2 linked regions of the Diceros bicornis minor genome follow. The protein of the gene in region 2 interacts with the protein of the main gene of each other region in a pairwise test. Links are inferred from orthologs where the notes say so. Each region holds a gene or a part of one and is shown on either strand. Other genes may lie near its edges.

Region 1 (10,833 bases), on a different chromosome or scaffold from region 2:
GAAGCGGACGGCAGAACAGTGGAGGGAGCCCCAGGGAGGGGAGAAAGGAGGAAAGAAAGAAAAGAGGCAGAGAGGACAGACACAGCTGGAGGAGCCTGCTACATTCTCAGAGAAACAGACAGACAGATGGAGAATGAGACGGACCCAGACCCTGTAACAGAGTGACCGGAAAGAGAAAGAGAGAGACAAACACAGAGGCAGCCAGAGAGAGAGAGAAGAGAAACGGACAGGCTGGCATGGTAGCGGCATCCGTGGGAGGGGTGGTACTCCCAGGCAGATGGCTCAGGCACAGGGGGACCCATGGGGGGAGGGGCTGTGGGGAGGGGAGAGGGGCCTGACCCTGAGCAGCTCCTCAGGCAGGTCCCCGCCCTCGTTGATGCCCCGGTTCATGGCCACAAAGCGCTCCAGGCCCGGCTTGTCCCGGACGTTGGGATTGTGGAGGCTGGTGTTCAGCATGATCACGGCGAAGGACAGCACGTAGCACGTGTCTGCGCCAGACAGGCAGGTGGTGATGACACAGGTATGCGGGCCCCCGGCCCTCCTTCCCAGGCCCCCCGAGTCCGGGTCCCGGGCCCCTCCTTCCGAGTCCCCCACCTGTGGACTGGAAGACCCCGGGGTTGCACAGACAGTATCGCTGGGCGAAGGCTTCCATCATCCGGTCAATCTTCTGGGCCTCTCCGGGGAGGCGGAAGCTCCATAGAAATTGTCTGGGTTAGAGAGGGGCCGAGTGTGGATACCAGGACTGGCGGAAGCCCCTCCCACTCTCAGTCCCTGTGTCAGGGAGTGGCAATGAGAGCTCCAGACCTTGTGGCCTCGGCAGCTGTTTCAAGTATGGACACATGATCCAACCTGACCAATGAGCATTGGCCATGGGACTTTTGGTGTACTTATACAGAAAAAGCCTTTCCTTCTACTAAGGTTGCTAAACAGATCTGATGGTTGCTAGGGGCTTCTGTTATCACGTGGCAGGAGAGTCTGCAGAGAGCAATGCCAACACAGTGGCGAGCACAACCAAGAGACAAAGTTGACCTTCTGACACCATTTGAGCACCTGGATACATCTATGCCTGAAGAAGGCCCTACCATGGAATTTTGCATTGCACGAGGCAATCAATTCCCTAATTTTTCTTTCTGTTTTTGTCTTGAGTAGGTGTCATCACTTGTAAAGAAAGCCCTGACGGGTACAGTCCTGCCCTTCCAACCCTGTCCCTCTCACCTGAGGGCCTGCACCAGATTGAGGTCAGTGAATTCATGCAGATCCACAAAGGCGTGGAGCACTGCCAGGTTCAGCTCTTCCCTGGGAGGACAGGGACAAAGTCATGCTCAGGAAAAGTCTGGGGAGGGTGGAGTGAGAGTGGACAGGAGGCAAAGCACGGGGGAGGCTGAGCCACCTCTTCTGCACGGCAGCTGCCTCTGTAGCAGCTGAAGTTTGGACGTGGACCCCATCACAGGCCTGGCACACGGGCAGGGATACTGAGAACACGCTCTTGAGAGGACCATCTGCCTCGAGAACCATGGTTTGGCTGGACCTTTGTACAGCTGGGAGACACGCAGCAAACGTGTGCTCCGCCTACTGTCACCCGTCTCAGGTGACCCCCAGGTTCCACAGATGTCTGCAGATGGCCCTCACCCCCCTAGATGCCCACAAAACAATCCCCACAATGCCAGATGGCCATAGACGGTCTCCACACACCCCAGACGTCACAGATGATCCCCAGACATCTACAGATGGCCCCCACATACCCCAGATGCCCACAGATGGTTCCTAGACATCTACAGTCCCCACATCCCCAGTCTCCATGCCCCCCAGATGTCCATTGATGGTCCCCATGCACCTCAGATGTCCAGAAAGTTCCACACACCCTAGATGTCCACCCAATCCCTAAGCACTCCAGACATCCACAGATGGTCCTGTGCACCTCAGATGTCCAGTCGGTCTCCACGCACCCCAGATGCTCACAGATTATCCTCAGGTTTCCCAGATGTCACAGAAGGTCCCCGTGCATCTTAGGTGTCCAGACAGTCCCCACATTCCCGATATCCATGCACTCCTGATGTCCATAAAGCCCCACGTGTCCCAGACATCCACAGATGGTCCCCATACACTCCTCATGTCCAGTCTCATAGACTTCTAGATGGTACCCACACCCCAGACGTCCACAGATGGTCCTCATGCTCCCAGATGTCCTCCGGGTCCCCGTGCTCCCTGGATATCCACTGAAGGTCCCCACACTTCCTAGCTGGCCACACAGTTCCCATGCACACCAGTTGTCTACACATGCTTCTCATGCTCTCATGACACTCAGATGTTCTCCACTGTCCCCAGACCTACATGGATGGTCCCTACAATTCCTAGATGTCCACAAAGCTCCCCACGATGCTCACAGATGGGGCCAGGCTCCCCTGGACCCCTGTGTCACTCCATCCTGTCATAGTCCAGTCGGAAAGCTGGTCTATCAGGGCCTCTCCTTGGGAGAGGAGCTGGCAGTGTGAGGGCAGGAGCTGGGTGCAGGGGGCCATGGGGAGAGGCCCAGAAGAGCTGCGGGGGGGGGGGTGTCTCACCTCTCCCCCAGGTAGTCCCCGATGGCCGTCTTATTCAGGCCCTCGCCTTTGTACAGGAAGCGGGCGATCTCCTCGGGTGTGTTCTGCAGAAGTTCATTCTCCACCAAGAACTGGATCCCCTGGTAGGTGGGAGCCAGGTCTCAGTGCTGAGAGCTAGAGGGGCATTTCCCACCACCTCCTCGGAAACCTTGGCAGCCCAACCCAACCCCATCCCCAACAAAGCAGGGCCAGGCTTCATTTTCAGGCTTCTCACAGGTCCTTACATACTATTTCTCCCACCTCAGAGCCTTTGCTCCTACTGTTCCCTCTGCCTTTGCCTGGTTAATTCCAACACCGAGAGCAGGAACAAGAACTCTTGTTTGCTGAATGACTGAACAAAATACAATTGCTTCAGGCAAGAAGCATGAAGTGAGAAACTGTCAGCAGACAGCAGTCCATCAAGGGCTGTGAGGGCCAAGCCTCGGGCTGGACCAGGGTCTTCTCTGGCTCTCCCTATGCCATGAGGACCTCCATCATAGCTCTCTCTCACTCTGGATTGTGGTATCTGTGTCTAGGGGCTCCCTGAGGGCAAGGTAGGGTCAAACTCTTCTCTGGGTCCCCAGCATTCCCCAGCAGAGGGACAGGCCCAGAGGAAGCCTTAGGAAATGGGTGTAAATGAATGACTGAATGCACAAACATCTTTCCTCCACCTGGTGAACACTGACTCATCCTTCAAACCTGACCTGAATGTCCCCTCCTCGGGGAAGCCCTCCCTGACTCCACCAGGCTCCCTCCTCTGAGTGTCCACAGCCCCCAGGACCTCCCTCTGTCCTGGCACTTGTCAACCTTTAGGGCGTGTCACTGTCTATGTTCCCTACCAGACTCAAGCTCCTCCTGGGGCTCTAAGTGACACCAGAAGTGGGTCCAGGAATATGAATACAAAGGGGAAGAGGACTCCCCCAGGCAGAGGACACAGCACAGGCAAAGGTTAGTGTCCTGAGAACAAACAGACAGCCACTATCTGAACCCAGGGATTAGAACCAAGTCTGTCTACCTAATGTAAATCTTTAACTATCACACTTCTGGAACCTGAAGATGCCAGAACCTCCTGTCTGGATGTCTGCATGGCTCACCCCAGCCCTGTGCCCCAAGCACCTTTTTGGGGTCCATGTTGAACTTTTTTCTGCCCATTGCCATCTTCCGGTTCCGTTGCAAGGTCTTACTGCAGGGGCAGAGAGCCGGGGGACGGAAGGTCAATGCCTGGGCATCCCCAGCCCCAGCCAGGTCCCATGACCCCCAAGTTCCCTGCCCCAGCCCTCACCTGCCCTCATTGGCCTCCAGACCCTCCACTTCGCTCATGGCTTCGCTGAGCTCCTCCCGCAGGCGCTGGATCTCCACCAGCAGCTCCTGCTTCCGCCGCCGGATGTTCTCCAGCTCCATCCGCTCCTCCGGAGTCAGGTCTGGGGGCTCTGGGGGGCGGGATCAGGGGTTGGAGGTCAGTTTTGCGGGACTGGGAGCCTGGCATCCTGCAATGTGGGGAGGCCACAGCTGGGGGAGGGGGACAGGACTCCTAGATTCAGGGGGAAGATGAGGATGAGGGTCGGGCCTCCTATGTCTGCTGGAAAAGGGGGCTGGGGGCCTGGATTCCTCAGTCCAGGGGAGGAAGGGCTGGGATCTAGCCTCTTGAGTCCTGGGCTGGGAGAGGAGGGGGCTTGGGATCCGGACTCCTCAGTCTAAGGGAGAAGGGGACTGGGAGCCTGAACTCTTAGGTCCGGGGAGAGAAAGGGCTGGAAGCCCGAACTGCTTGGTCCATTACTTGGAAGGGGACTGAGGCCCGGGTTTTCTGCCTCCATTCCCGGCGAGGTGGCTGGGGGCCGGGGTGTCCTGACTCCCGGGACCAGGAAAAGTAACTACGGCAGGAAAAGCGGGTGACAGCTTGGAAGAATTGGGGAAGGGGGCGGGGCATCGACGGCCCCCGCCTCAGCGGGATCTCTGCAGCCCCCAAGATTTCTCCCCGCCCCCCGAACCCCCCTCCCCGCTCCCGGCAGGCCCCGGGCTCGCCCGGCCCCTCCAGCGGGAATGGGTCCGCCCCGGCCTCGCCTCCGCCGCTCCATCCCGCCCCCTCCCGCCGCCACCGGAAACAGGCTCGGCCCAAACAATGGCCTGGAACGCCCCGCTCTCGGGCCCCGCCGGAAGCCCGTCCCGCGCCCCACAAAGGCGACGCGACGACGGGGCCGAGAGACGCCACGCCGCGCGCGCCGGGAGGCACGTTCGCGGCGGAACGTTCGGGACGGAACGCTCCATCCGCTCCCAGCCGGCCCCGCCCCTCCGCGACCTACCATAGACACCGTCCTCCATGGCGGCTAGGAAGGCCCGCGGGGAGTCCGGGGCGGTCCCGCCGGTCGGGCCTGGATCCGCGTTGGCCCGCGGGCTCGGGTGAGCCCGCTCAAACGCCCCGGGAGCCACCGCCGCCTCCTCAGCGCCAGTCCTCAGCGCTGAAAAGACTCTCCCTTCGCCTCCCGACCGCCCCGCCAGTCGGGACCGCCCCTCGTTTTGACACCGTCCAATCCACGGCGGGCCCTCTCGTCTGCTCCGCCCCCGACGCTGAAGGATCGTCCTCCAGGGCCAATAGGCGCGCAAGGAGCAGACGTAGCAAAGTCCGGCCGGAGGTAGACGGTCTGTGGGGCCAATCGGAGCGCGGGCAGAACGCCAGGCCCCGCCTCCGAAACAAAAGAAGGCACTTGGCTGGCTTGCCCGCCAATGAGAAGCCTTGGAAAAGAATGGCATGGAGAGACATATGCGGCAGCAGAGAGGACTGCGCCTGCGCAAGGGCTCCGAGCTCTAGGATACTAATTGAACCGAGCCCCACCTCTAGCAATACGTTGCTGGGGGGCGGTACTTTGTTAGTCTTGTTGCCAGGGGGCGGGACCACAACAGCCGGTTGTTTCCGTGAGCCACACCTCCTAGCAGGCCCAGCTGGCTTTTGACCGCAGCGGTTGCCACGCAACCGGGAGCAGCTTTGGCTCACCTTTCTTTTGGCCTCCTTCCTCCTGGCACTGGCCCCTCTGTTATTCAGACCCTTTTGTTACCCCGTCCCCTGATCCCATCCACCTTAGCCTCTTCGGAGTCAAGGAGTGGTGAAACAAAAGACTTATTCTTTCTCCCAAATGCTATGCTCTTTGGCGTCTGTCATGGAGAATGGGACGGTAGAAGGCCAAATATAGTGAAAGCACAGGCTCCGACTTCCTGGCGCCGTCTGCCTCTCAGGCTCCTCCCTCTCCCCCAAACTCCTCCCCTAACCTTAGCATCCCCCAAGGACAACTCCCTTTTCCTCAGCAGCCTCCCACCTCTGATTCCTTCCCCCTTCTCAGAGTCTTTTCCCTCCTCTCCGACTCGCCCCACTTCACTCCCCCACCTCTCATACTCTCGCTCTTCATAAACTCCTCCCTCCTCTCGGAGGCCTCCCGCATCTGAGGCCCTTCCCCCTCTCCAGCCTCTCATTCCCATTCCTTGCAGGCAAAGCGGGTGCAGGGGCTCGGCTGCGATGGAGAACCTGGGCACCCCTGTCACGGGCAGGTCCCTAATTGGGTCTGAGGTGGTGTCTGGGCCTCGTCCTCAGTCGCCGTCCCTGGGCTCGCAGGTGGGGACGGATTCGGGGCTGGGACCTGGTTAAGCTGACAGATTAGACAGGGAGCCTCCTAATCCCCTCACTGACCTTTATGAGTGGCCCAGGCTCTGCCCTCCCCGGTGGAAGCCCAGCCTGTGCCCGCCGTGCCCCCACTCTCCCTCCTTCCAAACAGAACCCTTTTCCTGCCCCTTCATCCCCAACTTAACATCCTCCTCCACCCCTGTGGTTCCACTGCCCCCAGTCCCTACCCTGGACACCCTGAGCTGGGAGAGCAGCAGCTAATTAATCCCATCCGGTGATTACGTGGGGATTCTGAAGGATAAAGGGAGATGGAAGCCAGAAGGAGGGACCTGGCGTGATGCAGCACTTAGGCTAATGGGCAATGACGGTGCCTGCCCTCAGTCTTGGGACACAGAGATGGGAACATGTCCTCCCCCTGGCACTGGCTCCTTCTGCGGCTGGCTCCCAGTCTGCTGGGCACTTAGGTGGATGGCAGCATGGACCCGTGCCCCAGAAACACACTCACAGACACACCACCAGGGCTCCCAGTGATTTAATCCCTAAACACAACCTTTCCCCTGGCATTCAGAGCTACCTGCTCTTTCCCCTGACCCCCAAGCTGGACCAGGAAGGCCGTGATTCTGGCCCTTAGCCACAGCCCATACTACCCCTAGCCTGCCTGTGATTCAGACACCCAGGTTCAGAGCTGGCCTCCAAGATCATCTCCCATCCCAGTTGCCCCTCGAAAGCCGAGCTTTCCAGCATCAGCGAGATCTGGAGAATCCCAGGACCCTCACCCTCAGTGAAGTGGGGAATCATCCTGGTGGAAAGGCCCTTGGAGACCTTCAAGTTCCAATGCCCCATTTGTACAGATGGGGAAACTGAGGCAAAGCGAGGGGAGTGATGTGCCCAAAGTCACACAGTAAGTTAGAACAGAGTTGGGATTTAGAGCAAAGCTTCCTGGATCCTTGTAAAGGATCTTATTCCAATTAGCTCAAGCTCAATTTCTAACCCTTCTGTAGGAACCACGGGAAAAAATAGATAGATATCTGTATTTATATTATATATGTATAATACATGTATGTATAACATCTTTAAGAAATAGACACACATTGCTAGGTGTAGAATTCCAGAGGATTGCAGACTCACCAGCCTTGGGCCTCTCCCTTCCCTTGCCCAATAAGTAGCCCTGTTACCCACACCTTCTAGGTCAGCCCAGAAATGCTGCCTATCGAGTCCTGAGTCCACCTCCTAGAACTGCCAAGTTCTAGGAGCTGATTAGAACTTCCAGGTTTTGATAATGGACAACTCTGGATCCCTGGAGCCTTGATTCCTTTGGCATTACAGAACCACAAAGAAGTCATGTGGAATCATCAAGATTCTCAACTCCACTGGGCAAACTGGAACCAGCCAATCTCAGACATATCTAGGATCACCACTCCTTCTTTGACTCTATGATCAATCTAGAGCCACAGAATCCTGATTCCTTTGGACATTCTAGAATGGCACTTAAAAAAAAAAAACCTGTGGATCATTTAGAAGCATTGATTATCCCCTCGCTTCGATGTTCTACAGCCAGTGGTCTGGAGTTATCTAATATCAAGAACTCCCAGTCTGTCACTGTAGTCCTTCTAGACCCACAGACTCACTATTGTTTTGTGCATTCTAGAAACATAAGTCTAGTTTCTGGAGTAGTTCAACTCCCTAGGTCAAACCTGTTCTAGAATTACCACTGCTTGTCTCTGTGGTCAATCTAGATTCACAGAATCTCAACTTTGGGGCTTTCTGGAACCACAAGGTCTTTTGTTGACTTGCAGTCAACATTCCTTGTCATTGGTCAATCAAGATAGTCTTGAATTCTTGGGGCATTCCATAACTTTCCCTCCTTAGGTGGTGTAGAAAAAATGATTTGCTACTTGGTTGGCTGAGTCTAGAAGCAACAGTCCCTTGAATCTTTGGTCAATCCAGAGCTACAAACTCTTGATCTCTATTGCTGCTCAAGAACTGCCAACTTCCTCTCCCAGAGACAGTCTATACCATTGATTCCTGACCCTGCTCAACAACCCAAGTCAGCCGTATAGAGGAATCTGGAACCACCGGTCCTTGCCTCTCGGGTGGTCCAGAATTCTGGATCCCTCAGCTCTGGTGAGGCTCAGGAATCGGGCTGACAAAGGGGTCTCAAGAGGGAGCATGGAATGCAGAGGAATTAAGGTCCAGTATGTCTGTGGTGGGTCCACTAGGCATGGCAGAGCTTCACCAGCTAATAATTTATCCAGCAGGCCTGTTGGTCTTGGGAAATACCTGCCCCCATCCCAGGAGAGGGCCAAATCTCTCCATCTTGCTACCTCTGGGAAGGGAGTACAAATAGGGAGACACCAGCTCACATCACGGGGGCAGGGTCAGCGCCAGGGTTGGTGTGAGTACTCGGGGGCTGGCAGCCTCATCTTCTGCCTCTGCCCCATCCCCCTCCTTGGTTTCCTCTTCCTCCTCTTCCTCCTGGCAGCAGCTCAGAGCAAGTTCATTCTCATAACAAAATGCAGCCAGAGAGCCAGGGAAGCTAGACTTGGGGCTGTGGGAAGCCTGCTCTGCCCGTTCATCCAGCTCCTTGGCGCTGCAGACCGGTGTCCCTGGGACCTCGTAAGTGCGATGGAAGTGGCGATAGTCGACCTCATACTGGGAGCCACGCTGGAAGAGGACTGGCTCAAAACGATGGCCCCAGAGCAGCTCACCAGGAAGGTAGGAAGAGCGACACTGTGTGGTCATAGCCGTGGCCTCAACCATGCCCTCGAGAATGACCACCAGCTCAAAGTCGGCCCGGGCTAGCTCGGCACGTCCTAGTTCATACAGAGGACTGGCAGAGTCGATCTCGTGCACGATGGTGATGGGAGACACGAGGAAGATGCGATCGGTGCCACCATCAAAGCCCACGTCCACATCCTGGTGGTCCAGCGGGATGTACTCACCCTCTGGGGTCACGCGAGGCTGCAGCGAAAAGTGAGGGGCCAAAGATAGACAGCAGGGAGCACAGAGATGAACAGAGACAGGGAGAGAAAGGAATGATATAGAGAAAGAGGAGGGCAGCGACCGGCAAGGGTCGGGGTGGGGTGAGAACATGGAGCCAGAGAGAGGGGGATGGTGACCCAGACAGAGAGGAGGACAGAGACATGGGGAAAGGGACAGAGACCGAGAGAGGGAGACAGAGCCCCAGGGAGGGGAGGATGGAGGCTCAGAGATAAAGAGAGAAGGACAGAGTGATATTGGCAAAGAGCCACAGAAATCAGCAAGTCAGAGACGAAATTAAAGAGGCAACAGAAGAGAAGGACATCCAACCAGCAATTGGACCAGTCCCACAGACTTCTGGGAGAGGCAGTATCCCTCCTGGTGTCTCTAACAGTCAAGCAGGCGACTAGGGGGTCGGGGCGGGGGGCGGGACGGGACGGGACCCATTCTTTTGCAACTGTCTCCGGGAGCCCGCAGGCGCTGCTGGGAGTTGTAGTTCCCACCACCGCCCCATCCTCCCTCTCACCCACGTCCAACCTCAGCTCAGGGTTGTTAAGTGTCTTTCCTTGGGCGAGGGCAGCTACTGCCTCAGAATTTGTTTGCGTAGTTTGACCACAATTCTAGAAACACTAAGTTGCCTTCTTCAGGGCGCCGTTACTCAAGGGGCCAAGGGGAGTTGTAGTTGTTTTTTTTTTTTTTTTTTTAATAATTTTATTTATTTATTTTTCCCCCAAAGCCCCACTAGATAGTTGTATGTCATAGTTGCACATCCTTCTAGTTGCTGTATGTGGGACACAGCCTCAGCGTGGCCAGAGAAGCGGTGCGTCAGTGCGCGCCGGGGATCCGAACCCGGGCCGCCAGCATCGGAGTGCGCGCACTTAACCGCTAAGCCACGGGGCCAGCCCTCGTAGTTGTTTTTTGCTTTTTGCTCAGAAGTTAAAATTCAAGAATTTCCCAACCCCTGCCCTGTACTCCTCCAAGCAAGACCCTGGTGGGAGAGACTGGGCCACTGAGGTAGCGAATGAAGTCTCCCACAAATGCTGCAGGACCCCCATGCCCAGAGGTCATGCAGAATTGTGTTCACGTTTCTGCAGGTGCGAGCTGCACCCATCTTCGAGCCTACATCTCCCACAATCCCATAGGGGCCTGCCTCAAGTCATAGTCCATTCTCTGTACCACAGTGTCAGCTGAGAATCGTAAATCTGAGCCGTGGTTTACACCACCCCCAAACCTACATCATCTCCTCAGACCACCCCATCTGGGCACTGTCTCTGCCCCCAGAGGCTTCTGGGAATTGTAGTTCGGAGCCTTTACAGCCCAGGTGTGGCCCTCTCAGGTCTAGATTTCCCACAATCCCATAGAGGGCCGATCCTCAAGCCACAGGAAGCTCTTTATGTCTCCAGATCTGTTTCAAGTCTAGGCCTCCAAGAAGAAATGAAGAGGTCACAGACTTCTCTCTTTGGTTTACATCTCCTACAACTGCTCCCCCAACCAGCCTCTGTCCAGAAGCGGGGCGGGAGGGCCCCTGCCCAAGAGACTGCTGGGAATTGTAGTCCACGCACCCTCCAGGTCCCACGCACACCTCGCCCTCAGGCCTACATCTCCCACAACCCCCCAGGGCTCCCGCCAGCGCCACGAAGGGCCCCGCCCTGCCTCCCGGGGCCG
Region 2 (10,702 bases):
CATGTAAAAAATGCAAGTGCTGATTACATGCTTGGGACATAGCAAGTGTTTGGTAATATTCGTTTTTATTCAGTGTTCCACCGTGCAATGTTCAGAAAACGCAATGGACCATCTATTCAAAAGTCTACTGGGCTGCTGTTTCTAGTTCAATTCATGTTGCATGCTGAGTTATTTGGTTTTCACCCTGGGGAATAGGGTTTGTTGTCTGTTTCATTAATTCTTTCATTTCTAACCTTGACTAATTTTCACTGACTATCTGGTCTTTTTTTTCTTTAATTTCTTATTTATTGCAGTAACATTGGTTTATAACATTGTATAAATTTCAGGTGTACATCATCTGGTCATTTTTTATTCAGATTTTTTTGAAAGCGTTCATCCACATTCTAGTAATTTTAAGGTAAGTTTAAACTGCCTAACTTTTCACCTTTCAACTACTATTTCGACACCTGTGTCAGATTGGGAGGCCTGTCTTTGCTCACATTTGTTCGTCTTTTTGCCTCTTAGTCTGCCAACTCTCTCTCACCTGATCATTTCTAAGACAAAGACAGGCGATTCATTCCAATACCTACAAGCCAAAATATTTGATCTCAGTTAAGTCTCTGATAAGGGACTCCTCCAAACTAATAAGCTGGCATTGTGAGACGGAAGGAGCAAGATCCTAACAACAGAAATTATTTCTTGACTTCACAAAAATGTTTTTTTGACCTCTCCACGTATACCAAGATGATAAAGATATGGTAACATTCCCTAAAAAAATTAATTACTCTTATGCTGGGAAATCTAAATTTAATTTAAAGTTATTAACTATTGAATTGCTAGATAATCATTCAATTCAGGTTTAGAGACCATTATAAATCATCCACAGAAAATAACCCATTTTCATGTGATACTAGGAACTAATTAGACCAGTCAGTCCCAGATGGGACCTCGTTTGCTCGTTCTCACTTTAGAGCTGTTACGTGATTCTGTACCAGTCCTAATCTCAAAGGGGATACCCCTACAAAGGTGAAATAACATAAACTGCATCATTTCTTAGATTGCAATGAACCACAAAGCTTAGAACACTACAACTAAAAAAATACTTTTGCTGGGCCCGGCCCATGGCCAAGTGGTTAAAGTTCCCCTCGCTCCACTTTGCCGGCCCAGGTTCATGGGCCTGGATCCCGGGTGCAGACCTACTCCACTCATTAGCCATGCTGTGAAGGTGTCCCCCATACAAAATCATAGAGGAGGATTGGCATGGGTATTAGCTCAGGGCAAATCATCCTCAGCAAAAAAAAAAAAAAATACTTTTGCTTTATTTTGGTGGGAAATTAAAAGAAGGTTAAGTTTCTGTTCATTTATTTTCATTCAACATTTATTTTGTTTTCAGATTACTAAATTAGTCCAGATATGCTCCACTAGTGAAAAATTGGGGAGAAAAATGAAAAGTGCAAAGACAAATATAACCATCAGCTGTAAACCCACTATTCATAATTTACCTCAATCTTGCTTCTCTGCAACATTTTTACATAGTTGAAAAAGTTGTGTTTCTTCTTTTTTGACTAAGCATTAAATCATGACAATATTTCCATAAATATCATTTTATTGATGATATTTCTTTATATAGATATACCACCATGTGTTTAACCATCCTGATAACGAAGCTTATAACATTTATTTTTAATAAACTATTCTTAAAAAGAATCCTGATCATTTTATGAAATTTAGAAAATACAAAAAAGTACAAAGAAAAAAGCTAAATTGGTGGTTAAATTTATAAGTGTGACCGTGGTGATTTGAAAGCTGAAGAAAATATATTGATAACAGCCATTTGGTGAAGATCCATGATGTGGCAGGCACTGTGCAATCACATTTCTAATCCTCACACAACAACCCAAAATGTTCAGTCTGTTACGAGCACCACTCCACAGGTTCAGAGATCATAGAGCTGGTAAGTGGTAGATACAGATTTTTAATAGATGTGTCTGACCCTAAAACTATGTTTCCTCCTTGCTATATCACATTGCCTTTCCCATCATCACCTCCACCACCACTACCTCTATCACCACCACTAGCACCACCTCCTCTACCATCTTCTCTGCCACCACCTCCACCACCACCTCCAACACCACCCCCACCATCACCATCACTACCACCTCCAAGACCACCTGCACCATCACCTCCTCCACCACCACCACCATCACCTCCATCACCACCTCCAATACCATCCCCACCACTACCTCCACCACCACCTCCAACACCACCCCCACCATCACCATCACTACCACCTCCAAGACCACCTTCACCATCACCTCCTCCACCACCACCATCATCACCTCCACCACCACCTCCAATACCATCCCCATCATCACCATCACTACCACCTCCAAGACCACCTTCACCATCACCTCCTCCACCACCACCACCATCACCTCCACCACCACCTCCAATACCATCACCACCATCACCATCACTACTACTTCCAAGACCACCTTAGCCAGCACCGCCACCACTGTCACTTCCACCAGCTGGTCTAGCATTCCCTCTGCCACCACCTCCACGATAACCACTTCCAAGACCACCTTCACCATCACCTCCTCCACCACCACCATCATCACCTCCACCACCACCTCCAATACCATCCCCACCATCACCATCACTACCACCTCCAAGACCACCTTCACCATCACCTCCTCCACCACCACCATCATCACCTCCACCACCACCTCCAATACCATCCCCACCATCACCATCACTACCACCTCCAAGACCACCTTCACCATCACCTCCTCCACCACCACCATCATCACCTCCACCACCACCTCCAATACCATCCCCACCATCACCATCACTACCACCTCCAAGACCACCTTCAGCATCACCTCTCCACCACCACCATCATCACCTCCACCACCACCTCCAATACCATCCCCATCATCACCATCACTACCACCTCCAAGACCACCTTCACCACCACCTCCTCCACCACCATCATCACCTCCACCACCACCTCCAATACCATCACCACCATCACCATCACTACCACTTCCAGTACCATCCCCACCACCTCCACCATAACCACTTCCAAGACCACCTTCACCATCACCTCTTCCACCACCACCATCATCACCTCCACCACCACCTCCAATACCATCCCCACCATCACCATCACTACCACCTCCAAGACCACCTTCACCATCACCTCCTCCACCACCACCATCATCACCTCCACCACCACCTCCAATACCATCACCACCATCACCATCACTACCACTTCCAGTACCATCCCCACCATCACCATCACTACCACCTCCAAGACCATCCCCACCATCACCATCACTACCACTTCCAAGACCACCTTCACCATCACCTCCTCCACCACCACCATCATCACCTCCACCATCACCTTCACTGCCAGCTCCAACTGAACACCACCACATCCACCTCTAGCACCTTCACAACCTCCTCCTCCTCCATCGTCGCACCATATGGCCACTCCTAGGGCTTCTTATCATCTCTTTTCTACACACCCTTTCTTCTCTTCACATCTTCATATTCTCCTCCTCTCCTGCTTGACTCTGACCTCCTCCAATCTGCATTTCCTTAAGTACCTGGGTAACAGAGAAAGCAAAGACAACACTACCACACTCAGTTTATAAACAATCCTGATCATTCATTATTCAACACACATTTGCTCAGCGCGTACTATGGGGCAGGCACTGTTCTGAGTGCTGGGAGTACAGTAATTCCCTCATTTGCAGAATGTCCTTCCACACCGTAAAGCTTAGTTTTTACGATTTCTTTTGCTCACACACATCATTTGCCACCTTCAACTTGCTTGCAAATGGTCGAGCTGTGCTTTGGTTACAAGCTCACACTGCCTAGCCTCCAAGCTGGATGGAAAGCAGAAGTGAGCTGTTCAAGAAGGAGAGGCGAGTCAAAAGGAAAGTCTCAGGCAATCGTCATGAAGTAATTTCTTATCTCTTATTGCCACAGCGAACTACCGCAGGAAAGAACTTCCTATTTCCGTACTCAGATGATGTGTATTTGCCTAACACAGCTTGCCTGCAAGAGTTCATACATGGACCCTCTCCAGAAAAGACCCTTGATATAAAGAAAGAGAGGAAAGAAAGGAAATTAAAAAATAAATTAAAGAGTGAATACATCAACAAATACACAAACTGAAGTCCTTTTCCTCTTTATTTGCATGATGTGAGCAGAAAGAAACTCGTGTTCTTTCTATTTTCCGTGTAAAACAAATAGCTGTAGAGGAATCAGACTCTGTGTATGACTATACAATGCCCAGGACAGTACTAGAAACACACAGCCCCCTACAGACTAAAAAAGTCCACTGATATAGTCAAAGATGCCTTGGTGAGTTATAACTCTGACTCCTACAATTAAATTTCTTTCACAATATACACAAGCAAAGAAAACCCAGTGCCCCAGATGACCTTGGTAAAAACCTCTGAACCAACATCACCGAAATCCTCATTTTCATAGAGAGATATTTTGTCCAGCCTGTGACTTTTAGCTAAGAGTAAAATCCCCTCCAGCCGCTCACATACGAAAGGGGATGCTCCACAAAGAACACACTTTCTCACAAGAGGATGGCCACAGAGTGTTTCCCGAAGTGAACTTCTCAGGACCCAAACAAAGGCTGAATTGTGCTTTTCTAAGTCAAACCCATGGTCTGCAGTCCAAGCAGCTATCAATACAACATCAATTTAAGAAACTGAGAAAAGCAGAGTGAGAACAACACAACTCTCTCCTTCAAAGCTCTAACAGAATTAAAAAGTGCCATTATCACTGGACCATAGCAGCAGGTTTACGAAGAGCTGAGGAAATATTATGTCCCAAGAGTCACATCTTGGAACTCACTATTCTAAAGATAGGGTTAGAGCATCAATTGCTTTCCCATCTTGATATGCCAAGCAATGACTTCTCATACGGTAGCCAAGGAGTGATTTTACTTACATGCAATGAAAAGAGAGTAAATCCAAGAGCTGGCTCTTTATCCCTGAATTCAGAAAACTCATAATACTCTGAGGCAAAGGTTGAGGATTCCACTCTAAGCAGTCAGAGCTCTGGAGGCTCAGTCTACGCAAGACTACCATTAGAAGCTGAGCAAAGAGTAAGGCTCTTTCGAAAGAAGGGGAAGTGTCATCTCTACTTCCCCAATTTTATTGTTCTTCCTTCTTATTGTTATTGAACGCTTCCTTGATCCCAAAGTCCAGGACACAATGCATCTAAAGCAGGCACGTTCCATCTGTCCGACCTCACTGATCATTAAACACTACCTAGTGTATTCATTTCCAGGACACGTGTACGAAACACTACATGGTTTTGCTTTCCTGTTTTGGAGGCAAACATGTTTATTTACAGGCTTGGAGGGTGACATCATGTACAGAGCTGTTCTCAGTGTGTTTAGTTGAGACGCCACTGTTTTATCATCAACATCTTTTAAGTTCAATCTTCTTTCAAATTTCCCTTTTTTTCTCCTCTCCTGATAGTTCCTAATACTATACTAAGTAGAGGGTGCAGATAAATTTGTAAAAAGTATTTTAGGATAAAAATAAGTCTGAGCCTGCCATTCTTTTGCAGCACACATAATAGATTCTCCAGCTTCAAAACTTCTTTCACACACTAGAAAAGGAAAATGACAGGCTGAAAGTTAGACATATTTGAACTCATCACCTATAAATTCCTGCCCTCCCATGTCTCCTTTTCAACACCAGCATCTTGCTTCTTTATACCTTCTTGGGAAAACAACACAATTGCACCATTCTTATATCCTACTTTCAAAGAAAACAAAACAAATCATTAGAAATGGGCTCACAACCCATGCAGTTTTCCAAAATGTGGTCACTAGATCATTAGCATGTGTGTTAGTTATTTATGGCTACATGGCAGACTACCTCCAACACTTAGAGGCTTAAAACAACAAACACCTATTAACTCATAGTTTCTGTGTGTCAGGAATCTAGGCCCAGCTTAGCTGCGTTCTGTGGCTAAGGATCTCGCACAGTGTTACAGTCAACAGGTCAGCCGGGACTACAGCCATCTCAAGCCTCTGTTGGAAAAGGAAACTCTTCCAAGCTCACTCATGCAGTTGTTGGTAGGTTTCAGTTTCTCAAGGACTATGGGACTGAGCATCTCAGTTCAATGCTAGCTGTTGACCTGAAGTCACCCTCTGTTCCTTACCACATGGGTCTCTCCTTAGGGCAGCTCACAATGTGGTAGCCGGCTTTATCAGGGCAAAAAAGCAAGAGTCAAAGAGAATGAGACTGAGGAGTCCACTCCTGGGTAAACCTTCTGTGTGAACTTTCAGGCCTGCCCATCAGTAATTACAAAGGCTTTCCTCTGGCAAAGCCTTTCCCTGGGGAAAGTCGCCTTCCCCACACCAGCCTTGGTGACAGCCACTGCACTACAGCCTCTGAGGGGAGTTGCAGTCAAGGTCTCAGGGGCCCCTGCCCTGGTCAGCCATGCTCTTCTGCATATTTACATTCCCAGCCCCAGTGCCTTCATTACTAGGTCTCTTTATCTGAGACCGTGGGCCAAGGTCCCCTTCAGGTGCCTCTGCTGAGGCGTCCTTATGAAGGGACAAGGGAGAAACCTTGAAGACACTTTTCCCCACTACTCGGTCAGTACTGTTTTATTCCTAGCCCCCCTCTCACACACATACACACAACTCAGGGTCCATAAAACTGCCAGAGCCTTTTGTTGGACGTTCCCTCAACAGTGAGATGATCCCCACATCTGTGCTGGTCCACGTGCCCCTCCACAAGTGCACCATTCCACGGGGAAAATGGAACAGGGGCAGCCGGCGCTTCCTCCAGCTGTGGACTCTTGCTCATGGCCTCACAGTAAGCGACCAAAGGCTTAACTCTTTCATTTTTGGCTTCTTGCTTTAATCAGCTACTCCAACACCTGACAGCTCAGCTTTTCCTTGCCCGGCTCAGTTGAGCTCCTGACAGAAAGAGAGTATGAGCAAGACAGAAGTCACAATCTTTTGTAACCTATTCTCAGAAATGATGTCGCATCACTTTTGCCATATTCTCTTTGTTAGAAGTGAGTTACTTGGTCCAGCCTACACTCAAGAGGAGGGAATGTCACAAAATGTGCATTCTAGGAGGTGGGGACAATAGGGGGCTGGCTTACATGTTTAGATGCAGCATATGCATTTTTATCCAAACTCAAGTTGCCCCTGTCCAGCCAAATATTAACAAAAGGGAAGATTCATCTAAGGATAAAATCATAAATATAGTCAAACCACTAAAAGAAAATCTGAGACTTTCATCCACGCATTTGTATGCACTTGCAGCCCACTCTAGTCATTACCAAGATCACACTGTCCAGACCTGAAAACCTAATGACCCTCGTCATTCCATCTCCAAGAAACAGACAAATTAACATACAAGTAAAAACCTAAACTACACTATAAAACAAGCCTAGAATCTGGAAGGTGGCTGAAGCCATTTCAATAAAAAGAATAATTTTTCACCTATCCACAAGCATGAGAAAGCCTCAAGGCAAGTCCAGACCTGGAAGAGGTTTTATATAGTCACCTTAATCATTCATGTCTTTAGGATCAGAACTTCTGACACCCGGCCTTTCTTCTCTTGATGCTCAATGAACCTGCTCCTTCCTAAGAATGACCATGCAGGGCTTTATTGCCTGGAGCCCCCAGCAACCCCACACAGTACAAAAGCAGATCTCTCTTTCCATTTTCCTTTGTAAGCATAACTGCTTAAAGCAGAACAAATAGAAGATCTGTTTCCTGAGCTGCAACAACTAGGGATAAGGAGAAAAGGGCCATTCCGGGTAGAGAAGTAAATAATTCAATTGACTTGAGACCTTCCTAATTTGAAGATATGCTGATAACAGCTGACAGAAACCAGTGTGACTTGACTGGCAATAGATTAAAGGCAACATTTTCAAAAGCAAAGTGGAAATCCTCTGGATGGCATGTTTTGTGTCTCTGCTTTTTCAGAAGTTTTTTTAATTTACAGATTAAACGTAGCATCCATCCCAACATTCCCCATACCGCCCAATCCAAATGTCAATAAAAACTGTATTAAAAATAAACAATGCTGTTGGGGGAGCAGAGAAAGAGAGAATATACAACACAGTTACTATTTGGTAAAAACTTTGCCTTTAGGGAATAGATAATAATAGTTTGAAAACTACTTCAGTCTCTGATCTCAGACTTCCTCTCATTTTCTTTATACTCATTTCATGAGAAGATAAAAATTAAATTAAATCTGTGGAGGAGTGAAAGGATTAAAAGAAGATGCTGTACATTTTGACCGGGAATACCATGAAAGTTCTCTCAGTGGCTTCTTGTTTGCGTGAACTTCTGTTTCTCGAAAGTGCTGCCTCATCTTATCCCTACACCGAGCTGTTCTCTAGTTCTCTGCATTAGGTAGTATCCAAAAGTACTAGATGATATTAAAAGTGTTTAGTGACATCAATAGCAGAGACATGTTTCTCATCAGGCTTATCAAAGACATCGCCAGAGGGCATGTCATTTACAGTTATGGGGCCAGAATTAGGGCCACCTAAATTCTATGAGAAGAGATCACCTGATTTATCAAAGTGGAATAATTCTCAAGGTGGCTGGACTTCCAGTTCAAGATAGACTGGTCACAGATTCTTTTTGCTCCTTTATCTCCCTCCCAAGCCTCCATTAAAATGATAGGAAAATTATAGAAAATATATAAACCAACAATAACAAAAAAAAAAATAGGAAGAGGATTAGAGCTTGAGAGACCTCAATAGATTTCTGGAAGATGGGATGACAGAGGACGGGATGAAGGAGGACAGGGGAACCACAGCTTACCATCAGCAAGAAGGACACTACGGTAGAGAAACTGACCATTTGTGATGCACAATTCCTGGGAGGATCAGGACTCAAAAAGCCAGGAGAACTTAGAAAATCTAAATCAGTGAGGGAGCTGAAAATAGGAAGATTAATTGAAAGTCTGTAAGAACCTGGCCCCTCTCTGGGGGCCGGCCCAGAGAGGGGCTCTGGTGGCACAGCGGTTAAGTGCGCACTCCGCTTCAGCTGCCCTGGGTTCACAGGCCCAGATCCCGGCGCGCACTGACGCACCGCTTGTCAAGCCATGCTGTGGTGGCGTCCATATAAAGTGGAGGAAGATGGGCACAGATGTTAGCCCAGGGCCAATCTTTCTTGGCAAAAAGAGGAAGATTGGCATCCGATGTTAGCTCAGGGCTGATCTTCCTCATTAAAAAAAAAAAAAAAAAAAAGAACTTAGCCCCTCTCCCTTACCCCTCTTTCAAATATCTCTATCCTTCCAGCCTTTACACAGCAAACACAAACGATGGCAAGCAGCCATTTCAGCCCCACCTCAAGCAATATTATGGAGGATTCTTCTCTAAAAATATTGAAATTGTGCAGAGAATACAGTCAACGTATGCATATATGGGCACTCCAGAGTGAAAACTCCACATTCTGGTGTAAGAGCGTCACTCAGTATGTACTGGGTCATAACATCATCTCCCTGTTTGGCAACTACGAAATGTTGTAGGAAATGGGAAAAAATGGCCTTGCAATCAGTATCCTTACAGGTATTCTTGAAGATACTGTATCCATAAAGAAGAACAGGATGCTAAGAAAAATATATATTCTGAGAACAAGAAAGAACTCTTGGATATTATAAATATGTTTGCCAAAGAAAGATTTTAATGGAAGGCTTGGATGATAAATTCAAGTAAATCTTTCAGGAAATATTCAATGACCTCATCAAAGAAATAACATAAAAGATTTCCCTTAAGCAAAGTCCATGAGTATTTGGATTAAAAGTTCCCACTGAGTGCCCAGAGTGAAGAATTTTGAGTTACTATAAAATTCCCAAACACCAGAGACAAAAAGAAAATCCTAAAATCTCCCAAATAGAGAAAACAAGTCACTTCCACGGGACAAGGAACTGAAAGTGTCCAGATTTCTCTGAAAGTAGCGTTGAAGGTTAGAAGACAAATGAGCAAAACCTCTCAAGTTCTGCAGGACCTTAATTTCATGCTAGAGTTCTAATTCATTGATTCAGCAAATATTTCGGAGCACTGTTCTTGGCGCTGGGGACACAACAGGGAATGGACAATAAGGAACATCGTGCCCTCAGGAGCCTTCTGTTCTCTCGCTCCAATCAGGATGGTGTGCCCTCTAAACGAGATAAGTCACATCTAATGTGTTAGGTAGTAATAAGGGCTAAGGAAGAAAAAAAATAAAGTGGAATAAGAAACATAGAGAATCTAGGCATAAAATTAGGCTAAAAATCAAGTGAGGTGGCCAGGGAAGGACTCACAGAGAAGGTGACCTCTGAGTAATGATCTGAAGGAAGTGAAGTGAGCCAGCAGACAACTGAGGAAAGTGTGACCGGCAGTGGAAACAGCAAATGCAAAAGTCCTGAGGCCACCAGAGTCTGACTGGTACACTGAAAGAACAGCAAGGAGGTGGGTTTGGCCAGAGCAGAGGAGAAGAAGGGGTCAGAAAGTTAAAGGGAAACCATACACAATTATGGTTAGGTCGCATGGGGCCATAGTAAGAACTTGGGGTTTTGACTCTGACCAACTAAACCAGGAGTCCACTAACTTTTTCTGTAAAGGGTTAGATAGTAAATATTTAAATAGTAAATACTCACAGTTCACCTATGCAACTCTGCCATTGTAGTGTGAAAGCAGCCATAGGCAATATGAAAGC

Evidence for each region.
Region 1: the proteins of IPCEF1 (region 2) and CYTH2 interact in binary tests that used the Homo sapiens proteins (3 or more experiments, as listed by UniProt). The link is inferred for Diceros bicornis minor from reciprocal best matches to the Homo sapiens genes IPCEF1 and CYTH2.

The regions. Positions count from the first base shown.
Region 1 is NC_080773.1:24,134,790-24,145,622, reverse strand, and holds the start of CYTH2 (cytohesin-2), read right to left. Parts: upstream 5,050-10,833; 5' UTR 4,899-5,049; coding exon 4,880-4,898; intron 4,010-4,879; coding exon 3,862-4,009; intron 3,763-3,861; coding exon 3,696-3,762; intron 2,681-3,695; coding exon 2,562-2,680; intron 1,297-2,561; coding exon 1,216-1,296; intron 708-1,215; coding exon 595-707; intron 489-594; coding exon 340-488; intron 1-339. Other genes in the region: KCNJ14 (ATP-sensitive inward rectifier potassium channel 14), read right to left, coding at 8,554-9,150. UniProt on the Homo sapiens protein: Acts as a guanine-nucleotide exchange factor (GEF). Promotes guanine-nucleotide exchange on ARF1, ARF3 and ARF6. Activates ARF factors through replacement of GDP with GTP.
Region 2 is NC_080778.1:14,778,830-14,789,531, reverse strand, and holds the start of IPCEF1 (interactor protein for cytohesin exchange factors 1), read right to left. Parts: upstream 5,086-10,702; 5' UTR 4,960-5,085; intron 1-4,959. UniProt on the Homo sapiens protein: Enhances the promotion of guanine-nucleotide exchange by PSCD2 on ARF6 in a concentration-dependent manner.